3 linked regions of the Bombyx mori genome follow. The protein of the gene in region 1 purifies or fractionates together with the protein of each later gene. This does not show direct contact. Links are inferred from orthologs where the notes say so. Each region holds a gene or a part of one and is shown in the gene's direction. Other genes may lie near its edges. The genes, in order: acidic fibroblast growth factor intracellular-binding protein, C2 domain-containing protein 5 and cyclin dependent kinase 5.

Region 1 (4,362 bases):
AAGAGATTTCATTTCAGACCAAGAAATTGTAGAAAATATAACATAAGTAGAGTTAGGCATTGAAGAATTTAAGACAGACCTTGGTGTTAGTACAGTAGTCAAGGTCACTGGCCACTAGACCAAGGATCAAAGCATAATAAACAACTAATGAATGCCTATAGATATCAACAATAACGTAATAGTTCAATGACAAAATCTTATAATTGTACCATCTTAATTACCATTAATTATTATCGGTTTGCAATATTTTTCATATCACCGGGATTTATTATTTTTTAATAATTTTTATATTATTAAAACTGCACAGTAATTCTTATAATAAACTTTTCATTAATTAATTACTTTAGGCTAGTTAAAATGCACTTTTATTTTCGATATTAAAAAAGAATTGGTTGAGAATGTTACAACTTTAAAGAATGGTTTATTTATGTTTTTTTTTTCCTATATCACATAGCACAAAAGTGAAAGGACCCATCTTTAAATACTAGCAGTGCTATTACCGTTAGAGTCCCCAGTCAAATATGCGTAATTTTTCGTTAAAAATAAAGTTGTTTTTTCGTTGTTTTTGACGGAAACTATAGCGAATTTATTGAGGACCTTGTCCTTAATCGATAATTAAATGCTACAGACCCGCAGTTATATAAAATCAAGGTCCTTCGACCGAAATTTTGGACGAAAAACTTATAAACCAAAGTTTGAATGTGGTAAACAAAATATGTGTTTCAAAACTGATGGCTTCGGTTATTTCAATACTTACATGTTTCCGGACTCCAGAGTACAAAAAAAACACATAAAAATGTACAAGATGTTATTGAAAACATTTTTATTTATTTTAATACATATCTAATTGTGACACTACTGTAAGTTCGCCATTTTCGTTTGTGTTACTGCGTATAATCTATGGTTTAACGTTAGCGTTCCGTTTTATTTGACTTCATGTCATTCCTGCCTAGTGCTTCAACGTGTTGTAACTTAATCGAAATTCTTGAATGTTACTTAATCATTAAAATTTTTGAAAATAGTATTACTTAAATGCACTACAAAAAAGGTGTATCAAACTATTTTATTCCTGCTTCCCGTACCTAGTAAAAGAAAGCTTCTAAAGAAAGCTAGCTTTCTAGTAAAAGAAAAAACGAAAAGTTATAGTTTGATAGTTGACAATGATCTGTAGCGCCCAAAAAGTCGACCACCACCACATCTAGGCAGAAAGACTAACGTATTTTGAAGAAGATTTAAATGAATGGAAGAGTGAAAGATGACACTAAATGGTGGAGAGAAGAAAATTAAAATCACTGGATGTGGTTTCTAACTTCATTACATTTATAAAATTAAACAAATACACACTATATTTTTTCTATTCCTTAATTTTATTTCAAAATAATTTTCAATCAATTTCACTAAAGCTATAAAAGGTTTGGCTCATGGCTGTATGGGCTGTGCCTCCGTTTGTCTGATATACAAATATTTTTTTTGCTAATAACAAATTACAAAAATTACGATTAAATCATTTATTTAAATGCATTAAAATAGGTAGCGATTAAAAAGAAATGCAAAGTTAAAGAACAAATAGGTTAAGACAAATAACAAAAAAATGTACACAGAAGTTGATGTATTCGTTAGTAATTATACACTGATCGATCCTGAAATATACCAGTTATGGATCGAGGGTTGCTCATGTGAGTACAGCTGATGTGCTTTTATTACAAATATAATTTTAGTTCTTAATTAAAGTAATAACTCTTATATTCATTAATATTCAAATATTATTAATATCCTCAATGTCGGTCCTATTTCAGAATAAAAACAATATTTGTAGATACAAAATTCTAGCTAAAACTATAATTTATAAATAAAATTGAAAACAATAATACAACTACCATGAAACCCTTAGTGGAGCTCATCTAACTAAGCATTTTTTAATATTGCTTAGTTGGATGAGCCTACGGCCCACCTGATGTCAAGGGGTTACCAAGACACCCTACCACCAAAGACTAGTATAACAGCATTGCTGTGTGACAGCATAACGGTACTATGATGTACATTAGCACTCATGATTTGGTGTCAGGGGGTGAGAGGGCAGAAGAAAAAGGAGTGACTATATTAAAACAGACAGACTATTTCGGTGTAGTATGAAACTTAAAAAGGCTTTGGTCGTAAGTCTCTCATGTAGATCTTGAGGGCTCAACAATATCCTGCCCTGAATTTAAATTGAGAAACTAAGAATCTAATTGCAAATCGAAGTCTAATTTTAATTCTTTTTAGTCCGAGACTACAACCAACACATGAGCATAAGAAATATATATTATAGAGTATGTGCAAAACACGGGAATATTTGACTAGCCTATCAGAATATAGTAGATATACTTGTTGAATTCGGAATATATATTTATCATAGCATATATAGCATCTATATAATTTATTATAAATGACGAAAACCTGTCTTTATTATTGGAAATTCCCAAAACTTTCAAAAGAATATTGTCTTAATTATTGAGAAACAAAATGATACGTAACTTTCAGCTAGTGAAGCAGTGTCAACTCTGCATCAGCGTGGTGCAGCCAAACATTTAGGAACATCTGTAGAGCTGATAGCCAGCGATGTACTCGATCATTACAGGTTAATATCAAAAGATACCTTTTAAATAACCATTACTATTATTAATTTATTAACTCATGGTAACAAATGACTTCAGAGCATAAGTGACAACTGCTTGGCTTTGTCCCTGGCATTGTTGATGTCCATAAGCGATGGAAACCACTTACCATCAGGTGGGCTGTATGCTCAGCTGCCAAAGGCAATAATAAGATATAAGTACTAAATGTGAAAATTATTTGATTGCGTCTCTTCAGATAACACTTTTGTGATAACACCATCATCTTACTCAATGTTGAATGTATGACCATAAAAATATTGTTTTAATTTTATTCATCAGAACTTTTGCATTGCTTGAGAGGCTGCTCACGGTACCATCAAAGTTGACAGAGCAAATGATCTTCCAGCTGGACGAACAGACGAAACACATGCTCATAGAGAAGTGAGTTTATTGTTTTAGGCAAAAGAAATTATATAATTCTGCAGTGAATGAATAATGTCCTATAATTAAATATTGGGATGTATTTTGAACCCCTACGCTTAGAACCCACCATCCTCTTTCTAATGCATTCCATTCAGAAATGAAAGCTTTTGAGCAATTAAATTGAGACTTCCATCTTATCACTTGATCGGTAATAATATTCATATTGTAATAACTACGAGGTGCAATAACCACTAGACACTATAATATATAGGTGATGATTGGTCCATATTATGCAGGTGGCTCATATTATAACATTATACAGATATTATGACCTGGATGATGCAGTCATAAGAGAGTTGCTTGGAAGGAAGTTATCCTCCAGACACAGAAAAGATTTAGATGAGGTGAGTTTTAAGAGCATTTTAAGGATTCAGATTTGACACAATACTAACATCCAGTAAAAAAATATAGACATGATTATTGGCGCTAGATTGAATTGGAATAACACATGGGTATGTATTATTTAATTCTGCTGACAAGTCATTCAGTGTTAATGGTAGGTCAGCTGTTGGACAATATATTAGTTGAAATTACCTTGGGGTTCCTGTGAGCTCTGGTAATCACTTAAAAATAGATGGACCTTGAATTTGATGATCTGTTTCTATTATATTTTGTCTACTGCCGACATTGAGAATAAATTCTATTTTAGCTGGAATGGACCTACTTTAGAACCACTATAGTGAGAGCTCAGTCGGTGTCTAAGAGTCCTCCTAGATGAAATTACAAATCGCCTCCCAAGCCTCTACACAACGCCCCCATGTTTTTTCGGGGTCCGAGAAAGGCTGGTCTATTTAAAGCAAGAAGGAAAAAGCATTTATGGTCAAATCAATGAGACATCCAGTGTGCCAGGATGAATGCACAATTGCGAGCAATGGATATTGATTTAAAAAAAAAATAGTTGCGATCAATGATTAATTGTAAATCTTACCGATTTTCAAGGTTAACCCTACAAATTGTTTTCCAATTTAAAAAAAAAATACAATGTCCGTTATTAAATCGCGTTTTTCCAATGTCCCAGGTGGCGGAACGCTCGGGCGCGCCTCTGCGATGCTGTCGTCGTCAGTTCGACAACGTGCGTAGAGTGTTCAAGGCAGTGGAAGAGATGCCCGGAAACGTGGTCGCCAATATAAGAAGCACATTCTTGCTGTCCGACCCGCTCGCGAAGTGAGTCATTACTGATTTTACCTATCAGAAGTTTAACTTCCGTATTAACAGAAGTTTGACTTCTGCATCTTCAGAAGTTTGACTTCTGTAACTCGGGAAGCATAAGGCGTTCGTTCCAACA
Region 2 (3,654 bases), on another chromosome or scaffold:
GTGTGTGTCGATGGCGCTCGAAGCGTGTGTCTCAGGACAGCCCGTGTGTCCCTGCTGTGGTCACAACGTACTCTGGTCCGCAGGCGCGCCCGGGTGCCGTCGGTGCTGCTGGCCACGTGCGCCAAGCCCAGCACCATGCCCACGCACGGCAAAGCCGTCACGTTGACTGCTGTAGGTGAGTACCTCGCACTTGGAGCTGCCTGTGCTGTAAGCGCTGGCTGCCAATATAGCTTTACGCAAAGTCAGGCACGTTCCACAGTTTCAATACAGAATTTTTCTTACCTGCCTATGCTAATAGCCTTAAGAGGCTATTTCAGCATAACCTTAACTAGTAGGTGAGCTCACGAGGCTTAAACCGGAGTGTTGCTAACACGGGACCTAGCAAGAGCAGCGCTTCGCAAAATCTATCACCGGATCGGAAACGCGACCCACTGAGAAGATCCGGCGAGAAACTCCATATGTACACATATGGACTTGTTGTTGTTGTCTGAAATAAAAAAAAACATTCATTCATTCATTCATTCATTCATTCACGCAAACCCCGCGTGTTCCACCGTTCAGTTTTATACTTCAGATGGGTTAACGAGCCCTAATGGTCTATTTGGGACTTGCCCAGTTACTCTGGCATAACCTTCTTAGGTTACCAGCTTAGGTTAAAAAACAAGGTCCCATGTGGCATTTGTACCGCCAGACCTAGACAGCATACCTGGAGGGCGGTCATCGGGTGTGTGGGCGACCTAACGAATGCTTCTGTTTATATATCGTCAACGCAACCACGACCACTCTGACAAGAGTGTCCGACTGAGATATAAGTTGTTGCTGGAGTCCATAGACATCAATAATGCTGATGACGTCTTGAGTCATAATTAAGCTCCGATTCTACAGCACAACAGTTGTCCCACCCTTCGGTCTGGGGTCGCGTTACTGCTTCGCGACGGAATCAGGCAGCGCGGTGGTATCTTTTTTTTATTGCCCCTGTGGGCAGACGAGCATACGGCGCACCTCATGATCAGTGGTTACCGTCGCCTATAGACTTCAGCAATGCAAAAATCCTATCTTATCGGTGCGGGACCACGAGAACCCCAGTATTTACGCAAATTTAAATTTTTGCGATTTCGATTTTTATTATACGGTGTGATTCCCGACCGTGTGCCGAGCACGTGTAAGGGGGGCAGGTCGGGCGCCGCCCCCATGTCTCGCTCGTGTGTTCCAGCGGCGCGCGTGCGGAGGGCGCCCCCCACGGCGGAGCCCGGCGCCAGGGACATATCGGATCAGCTACCCTTCTTAGAGTACGAGCTGCACAAGCTGCTGTTAGCCAAACTGAGGATGCAGGTGAGTTTGGGCAAACATTACTATTTTTAATTTTAGAAATGACTAATGCAAAAAAAAAAGATTGTGTGGTTTTATGAAAGCACGGTAAAAGTGAAACTTTTTTTCACATTATATGCATGTAACTTTGACAAACAACATTTACAAACACTGACAAAAACAAACAAAATAGCGTAGAGCACTGGCACAAATGAGTAATAGTCTACACACTACACGCTCAGCTGCTGCGAACTATAGGCGCCGCCATATTGGCCTTGGCTGCTCTGACGATCGCCTTTCACTCTATCCCTACTCCGCGGCTGACCGTCACGCGACATGCAACACACAGACGAAAAAAATTGAGACGATGTAATAAAAGTTTCACTTTAAAAATTACCTGTCTGTGTGCGCTTAATTCTTTTGAACTATCCGATAAGAGTTTATTACGATTTTTTATTGTACTTTAAATATTTTGTTATCGAAGTCTTAAGTGTAAAATAAATGGAAATGATGTTAGAATTTAGAGAGAAAATGTTAATTTTTGACACTGTTAAATGTATAAGTCAGAAGAATGTAAAAACATTCGTAGTTGTTAGCAGCGACTGTCGTTACTGTTTATAAGAGGTAGAAGTATTCAAACATTGTCGTTTATTTGTTTTTGTCATTTGACCGACTCGGCGGTACAGATAGCTGCCCTGACTGTTGCGTCGAGGGTCGTGGGTTCGATTCTCATGTCGGGCACTCGTGTGATGAATAAGTTTATTTGTTCTTTGTCTGGGTCTTTATTATATAATAATAATTATGTATATAAGATAATCAAATCATGTCAGATAAACCTCATTTGAGGTCGATATTATTATTATTATCATTTGTAGCGTCTGTTTTTATAATTCATTGTTGCTTTTGATCGAGCGTTTCACTTTCCGAACGTATCGCTTATAGCGGGGGTCCATGACGCGAAAAAGTATATGTATTTGTTTTTGGCTCTTCGCAGTCCACTCAAATGTTGTAAATCCACTCTTCTCAACTCTTATAATGTAACACACGTCGCGTGCCCCGCGTGTCCGTGGGTCCGGGGGGACTAGTAGGGTGGCCCCCCGCTTGTCCCCCCTTATCGAGCGTGGTCCGCAGGGTGCCAACGCGCTGTTCTCGCTGTGCACGCGCGTGGCGGTGGGCGAGCGCTGCGTGGTGGCGCTGGCCAGCGGGGCCGCGTACCGCCTGCGCGCGCTGCCGCCCCCCGCACCCCCCGCGCTCAAGGTGATCCACCCTTACAATTGAACTGACCTAACCAAAAAACAAACATGTTTATATTTCGAATTTTTTTTATTTATTTATTTCTTATTGCTTAGATGGGTGGACGAGCTCACAGCCCACCTGGTACTAAGGAGCCCATAGACAACTACAACGCAAATGCCGCCACCCACTCTGAGATATTAATTCTAAGTTCTCAGTATAGTTACAACGGCTGTCCCACCCCTCAAATCGAAACACATTACTGCTTCACGGCAGAAATAAGCAGGGCGGTGGTACCTACCCGTGCAGACTCACAAGACGTCCCACCACCAGTAATTACGCAAATTATAATTTTGCAGATTTTATTTCTATTGCACGATGTCATTCCTTTACCGTAAAAGTCAATCGTAAACATTTGTTAAGTACGTATTTCATTAGAAAAGTTGGTACCCGCCTGCGGGATTCGAACACCGTTGCATCGCTAGATACGAATGCACCGGATGTCTTATCCATGAGGCCATGAGGACTTCATGTCCTTAGTTATCCCTAAATCTATATATTATAAACCTATTGTAAAAAACCACTTGATCGATTTGACAATTTGATATTACAACTAACTATTATTAACAGTATATATATATATATTAACTTTACCTAATGGGGACGATGAAACAGTCAAATCTAATTAATTTGACCAATGTAAGTGGATCTGTGTCGTAATGCAACGAATCGTGACCCAGGCCTCAGAAAGTGACCGGGACGCGACTGAGATACAGAGGGCTCTCCGGGACGCGTTCAACGCCAACAAGGCCGCCAACGGATACGACGTCGGTGAGCGCCATATTTCTTATTTTTATTTAGCTTTTGGCTTTAGCACGGTTTGTACATTAGCCAGCGTCAAGTAATAAGATTTTTAAAATTCACCGTTTTAATTATTTACAGTTATGAATAATAAAAAACGAAGTAAACTTAATCAATTGGCATGAAATTAAATTAAATGAGATGATATGGGATGAAATATAATTTCAGTAAAATGATGGCCATTTACTGAGACTTTTTCGAGTGGACTTTTTGGAGGATCTCGAGAATTTGTTCAGCGTTTTTCATTTTCAC
Region 3 (4,291 bases), on another chromosome or scaffold:
CCTTGCACGTTTATAACACCGGTCACTCACATGCGCACGAATACGCAAACCCGCAAGTGTAGGACGACATTTGCAAATGATTATGCAAAGTTTTCGCTACATTCGTGGTTTTCCAAGCTGTGTCGGTTTTTTAACAGACATCAAAGCGCGCGAACCGCGAGCCTTCGCGTAGTCTCCCACACATTCGTTTGCCCAGTTGCGCCGACGATTACGAAGGTAACGGACGTATCGTCATTTTCATAGTTCGTGACGTCTACTGTGTAACGTATCTTCATCAAAAGAAATCCCATAAAAACAGCATGGCTGTTAATGATGTCTGGGAAAGAATTCAAAACTCTTTTTCTCTTCAATGTCTATTGACGAATTAAAAAGGAGGAGAAATTCGTGAGACATTCGTAAACAAGTGTAGGAGGAAGCGCAAACGGGTTCGCGAATTGACTACCGAACCCATTTGCACAGCTGCTAAGTTTGCGAATGAATGTTTGACGGCCCTTCACATGCATAATAATATGTAGATTTATAAGATAGTTGTATGTAGTGTTGGACGGTGAAATTTGAGGGGATTGGGTTCTGTAGGTTGATGAGGGGCTATTTAAAAACACTCTGCTTCATGGTTAATATAATTATATTGCAAACACTTTGTACACTATAACATTATTACAATGTTTTATTTTTTATAAAACTCTTAGATGTTGCTCTGACCGTGTCTAGATGAGAAGTCGTTGTCTTCACTGACGAGAACACAATTATTTATTTTAGACTTTTAAAATAATTCCAATATTCGAAACTGTAACCTTACATGTGTCAACTGTTGCCGGCCATTACTTTCATATTCAAACTCCAACATGTAGTATGTACTAATAAGACAGAGGACTTTTTAGCAGGAATGCGAGGAGTGAAGTTGTGTGAATTGTTTTATTCTGTATATTTAGTGTTTCTTCAGGTTTAAATGTGGTAGTGTGTGATTAATCGTGGCTTATTAACTGTTTAGTATCTGTAAAAGTACACAAATATGGGAAAATAAAACAAAGTCGCTGGACGTAGCTTCTCGGGATCTTCCAAAAAGTCCACAAAAAAGTCTCAGTAAACAATCAACTTTTTACTGAGATTATATTTCACCCCATACTATCTCATCTCATTTAATTTCATTTCATGTCAAGTGATTAACGTTCCAAATTAATCAAATTCATTTAATTTCACTTCATATTATCATTATTCAAAAAATATATATCAAAAGCGTAGGCTGTATAGTAAGATACCTGTGCCTGTCCGGTTGGAAAAATAGAACAACTACTCAAAAATCAGTCAGTCCATAGATTATACACTTAATATAAGTCAGTCTAAATTAAAAACAATCGATCGAACTAAAGTGAGTAAATCTGTAGTTCAAAAATATGCAAAAATATGAGAAACTTGAAAAAATCGGTGAAGGAACCTATGGTACGGTATTTAAAGCCAAGAATAAAGAAACACACGAAATCGTAGCGCTCAAACGTGTTAGATTAGACGACGACGATGAAGGAGTACCATCTTCCGCTCTTCGTGAAATATGTCTTCTCAAAGAATTAAAGCATAAAAATATAGTGCGACTTTACGATGTATTGCACAGCGAAAAGAAATTAACCCTAGTGTTTGAACATTGTGATCAAGACTTAAAAAAATACTTCGATAGTTTGAATGGAGAAATAGATCTAGATGTTGTGAAATCATTCATGTATCAATTACTTCGAGGACTAGCTTTTTGTCACAGCCACAACGTTCTCCATAGGGACTTGAAGCCACAGAATCTCTTAATAAACAAGAACGGTGAATTAAAGTTAGCTGATTTTGGTCTGGCCAGAGCTTTTGGCATACCAGTAAAGTGCTATTCCGCTGAAGTTGTAACCTTATGGTACCGGCCTCCTGATGTATTATTTGGTGCTAAGTTGTACACAACAAGCATTGATATGTGGTCTGCTGGATGTATATTTGCAGAACTTGCAAATTCGGGCAGACCGCTATTCCCAGGTTCAGATGTTGATGATCAATTAAAGAGGATTTTTAAGCTTTTAGGTGAGTTCATCATAATAAATCTCCAAAGTTTTATTACTCTATTCTGAATTTAGGAAGCCTAATTATGATTTTATATTGAAAACCACATAAGGGCTCTTGGTGACAATAAAAAGTCATATCACAAAACTGGTTTAGATCTTAAATTAAATTTGAATGGCCGAGTCTCTGAGCTTAATACCAACATTAACTGCATATAATTATGCAAAAGTAAGAACTATGATTATGTCTGATTGATGCCTTATTTAAAGGATCGGACAGATTATAACAATATGTAAAATAAATTTATTGAATTTTAACTCTCCCAACAAACTAGAGAGTAGGCTTACAATATACCATATCACCATTGCTACTTTATTCTGTTGGGGGCTTAGTAAACAGCTGTCTGATAATTCCACACATACTATTTTCTAGTCAACCCCCTATTAGATTGCAGATTCTGCATAAAAAAGTTAGAAACAATCTATGGGTTGGCATAAAGATTACCGGCCTGACAAAAGTTGTTAGCCTAGTCCTCCAAGTACAAAATAATATAAGAATGTTAATCCCAACACTCACGGTCGAACAATGTCATTAAGTAGGAATAGTGTTTCCTTTCCTATAACTTATTGTAATTGATGAACACTTCGGCATTTAAATAATAAATCATTTTTTTTACTAAAATAGTCAATCATGACATCATGTACCATATTAAACTAAAAAATACATATTATACCATTAAAGTTTGAACATGTGAGTCGTCTATTATCAAAGGTGGCAATCTGTACATTTGGACAAATTTTTTTTATTGATATGTCAATACAGATTTATTTGAATATAATCGTCTCCTTCAAAGAATACGGTTCAAAACCTGCATTAAATAAAGGTTAATAGTTAACCTGTTATTTATCTAAGATGTCGTTCCGAAGAGTTTTGTGACTGCCAATGGAATACAAAGTCAATAATTCGTTTTTCTGATTTACCAATCATTGTCAAAAAGTCAGATTGCCGCCTTTGATAATAGTCGACTCATGTTTCAAATTTTGTGTTGTTATTTAATTTTTTTGCTGAGTCATATTGCAGACCCCTTCTATATATATATCATAAATACTTTAATTAGCAAATGAATATAATTTTCTGCCATCATAAGATTTCTTCTTCTGCATTTCAGAAACTTACGGTAAACATAGTATTTATAAAAATGCCTACAGAGTGTACTGAAGTGTTACAAAATAATAGTTAACTTTTACATATTTTTAGTAAAAATATATAGATTTGTCTAGGAAAATTACATCAAAGCTCTTGCATTGTAAATATTGTGCCATTTGCAAAGACTTATTCATTGACATACAAATAGGAAGTGTGTCACTGGTATTGTATGGGTGTATTAATCTGTCAGTTATCCTTTTTCAATCAAACTATGTTTACTTATCAGGTACACCCAATGAGGACACATGGCCTGGAGTAACTCAACTGCCGGACTACAAACCTTTGCCTGTTTATCAGCCAAGTTTAGGCCTCGCCCAAGTTGTACCAAGATTGCCGGCTAGAGGTCGAGATCTACTCGCTCGGCTGCTCACCTGCAATCCAGCTTTAAGAATGCCAGCTGATGATGCAATGGCGCATGCGTATTTCCACGATCTCAATCCGTCAGTCAAGAATGATCGATGTTAACAATCAATCCATCCGTACAAATGTACGTCAGAACTTATTTATTGTGAAAAGAACTATGATGAAATAGAAGAGTGTTGTGAGGATGAGACTTAATTAGATTTTAAGAAAAGTACTGCCAAATACTGTATTTTTACCAAGTAATTTTAAATACCATAATATTGGGAATTGTTATGTTTCAAATTATATTGATAAGGTTCCAGTATTTGGCTACTAGTGATATTTTTAATCGATTTTATAATTATTACTGAAATGTCCTAAATTAAAATGAAGTTAACTTTATGAACAAATGGTTTACAAATGGACTTTAATAATGTGTAATATGAAAGATGAAATGATGAATTAAAAAGTAAAAACATATAAATATTAAGTATAATATTGATGCGTAAAACATAAATGCACTTTGAAACAAAACAAAATTGATTGTTAAAATGAAACTTATTTATATTTAGCAATGAAAATGTAGAGTCAGATAGCTGACTACATATTTAAAAAACTCACTTTACAAAATTGTAAATGTGCATTCACATTATTAGCAACTGACTCCACTCAAAGTGCATTTAAGTTATGTGCATGCTATATTAGTTATATA

Evidence for each region.
Region 2: the proteins of acidic fibroblast growth factor intracellular-binding protein (region 1) and C2 domain-containing protein 5 purify together in Homo sapiens (affinity purification with mass spectrometry; 3 studies listed by BioGRID and IntAct, counting the BioPlex papers as one, with this or other methods). This does not show direct contact. The link is inferred for Bombyx mori from reciprocal best matches to the Homo sapiens genes FIBP and C2CD5.
Region 3: the proteins of acidic fibroblast growth factor intracellular-binding protein (region 1) and cyclin dependent kinase 5 purify together in Homo sapiens (affinity purification with mass spectrometry; 7 studies listed by BioGRID and IntAct, counting the BioPlex papers as one, with this or other methods). This does not show direct contact. The link is inferred for Bombyx mori from reciprocal best matches to the Homo sapiens genes FIBP and CDK5.

The regions. Positions count from the first base shown.
Region 1 is NC_085129.1:16,405,924-16,410,285, reverse strand, and holds the start of acidic fibroblast growth factor intracellular-binding protein, read left to right. Parts: upstream 1-1,423; 5' UTR 1,424-1,591; coding exon 1,592-1,676; intron 1,677-2,520; coding exon 2,521-2,617; intron 2,618-2,933; coding exon 2,934-3,035; intron 3,036-3,339; coding exon 3,340-3,421; intron 3,422-4,095; coding exon 4,096-4,241; intron 4,242-4,362. Other genes in the region: uncharacterized protein LOC105842300, read right to left, coding at 758-821. UniProt on the Homo sapiens protein: May be involved in mitogenic function of FGF1. May mediate with IER2 FGF-signaling in the establishment of laterality in the embryo.
Region 2 is NC_085113.1:1,779,796-1,783,449, reverse strand, and holds part of C2 domain-containing protein 5, read left to right. Parts: intron 1-83; coding exon 84-175; intron 176-1,213; coding exon 1,214-1,332; intron 1,333-2,439; coding exon 2,440-2,565; intron 2,566-3,281; coding exon 3,282-3,372; intron 3,373-3,654. UniProt on the Homo sapiens protein: Required for insulin-stimulated glucose transport and glucose transporter SLC2A4/GLUT4 translocation from intracellular glucose storage vesicle (GSV) to the plasma membrane (PM) in adipocytes.
Region 3 is NC_085125.1:9,568,986-9,573,276, reverse strand, and holds cyclin dependent kinase 5, read left to right. Parts: upstream 1-1,384; 5' UTR 1,385-1,394; coding exon 1,395-2,052; intron 2,053-3,463; coding exon 3,464-3,702; 3' UTR 3,703-3,746; downstream 3,747-4,291. UniProt on the Homo sapiens protein: Proline-directed serine/threonine-protein kinase essential for neuronal cell cycle arrest and differentiation and may be involved in apoptotic cell death in neuronal diseases by triggering abortive cell cycle re-entry. Interacts with D1 and D3-type G1 cyclins.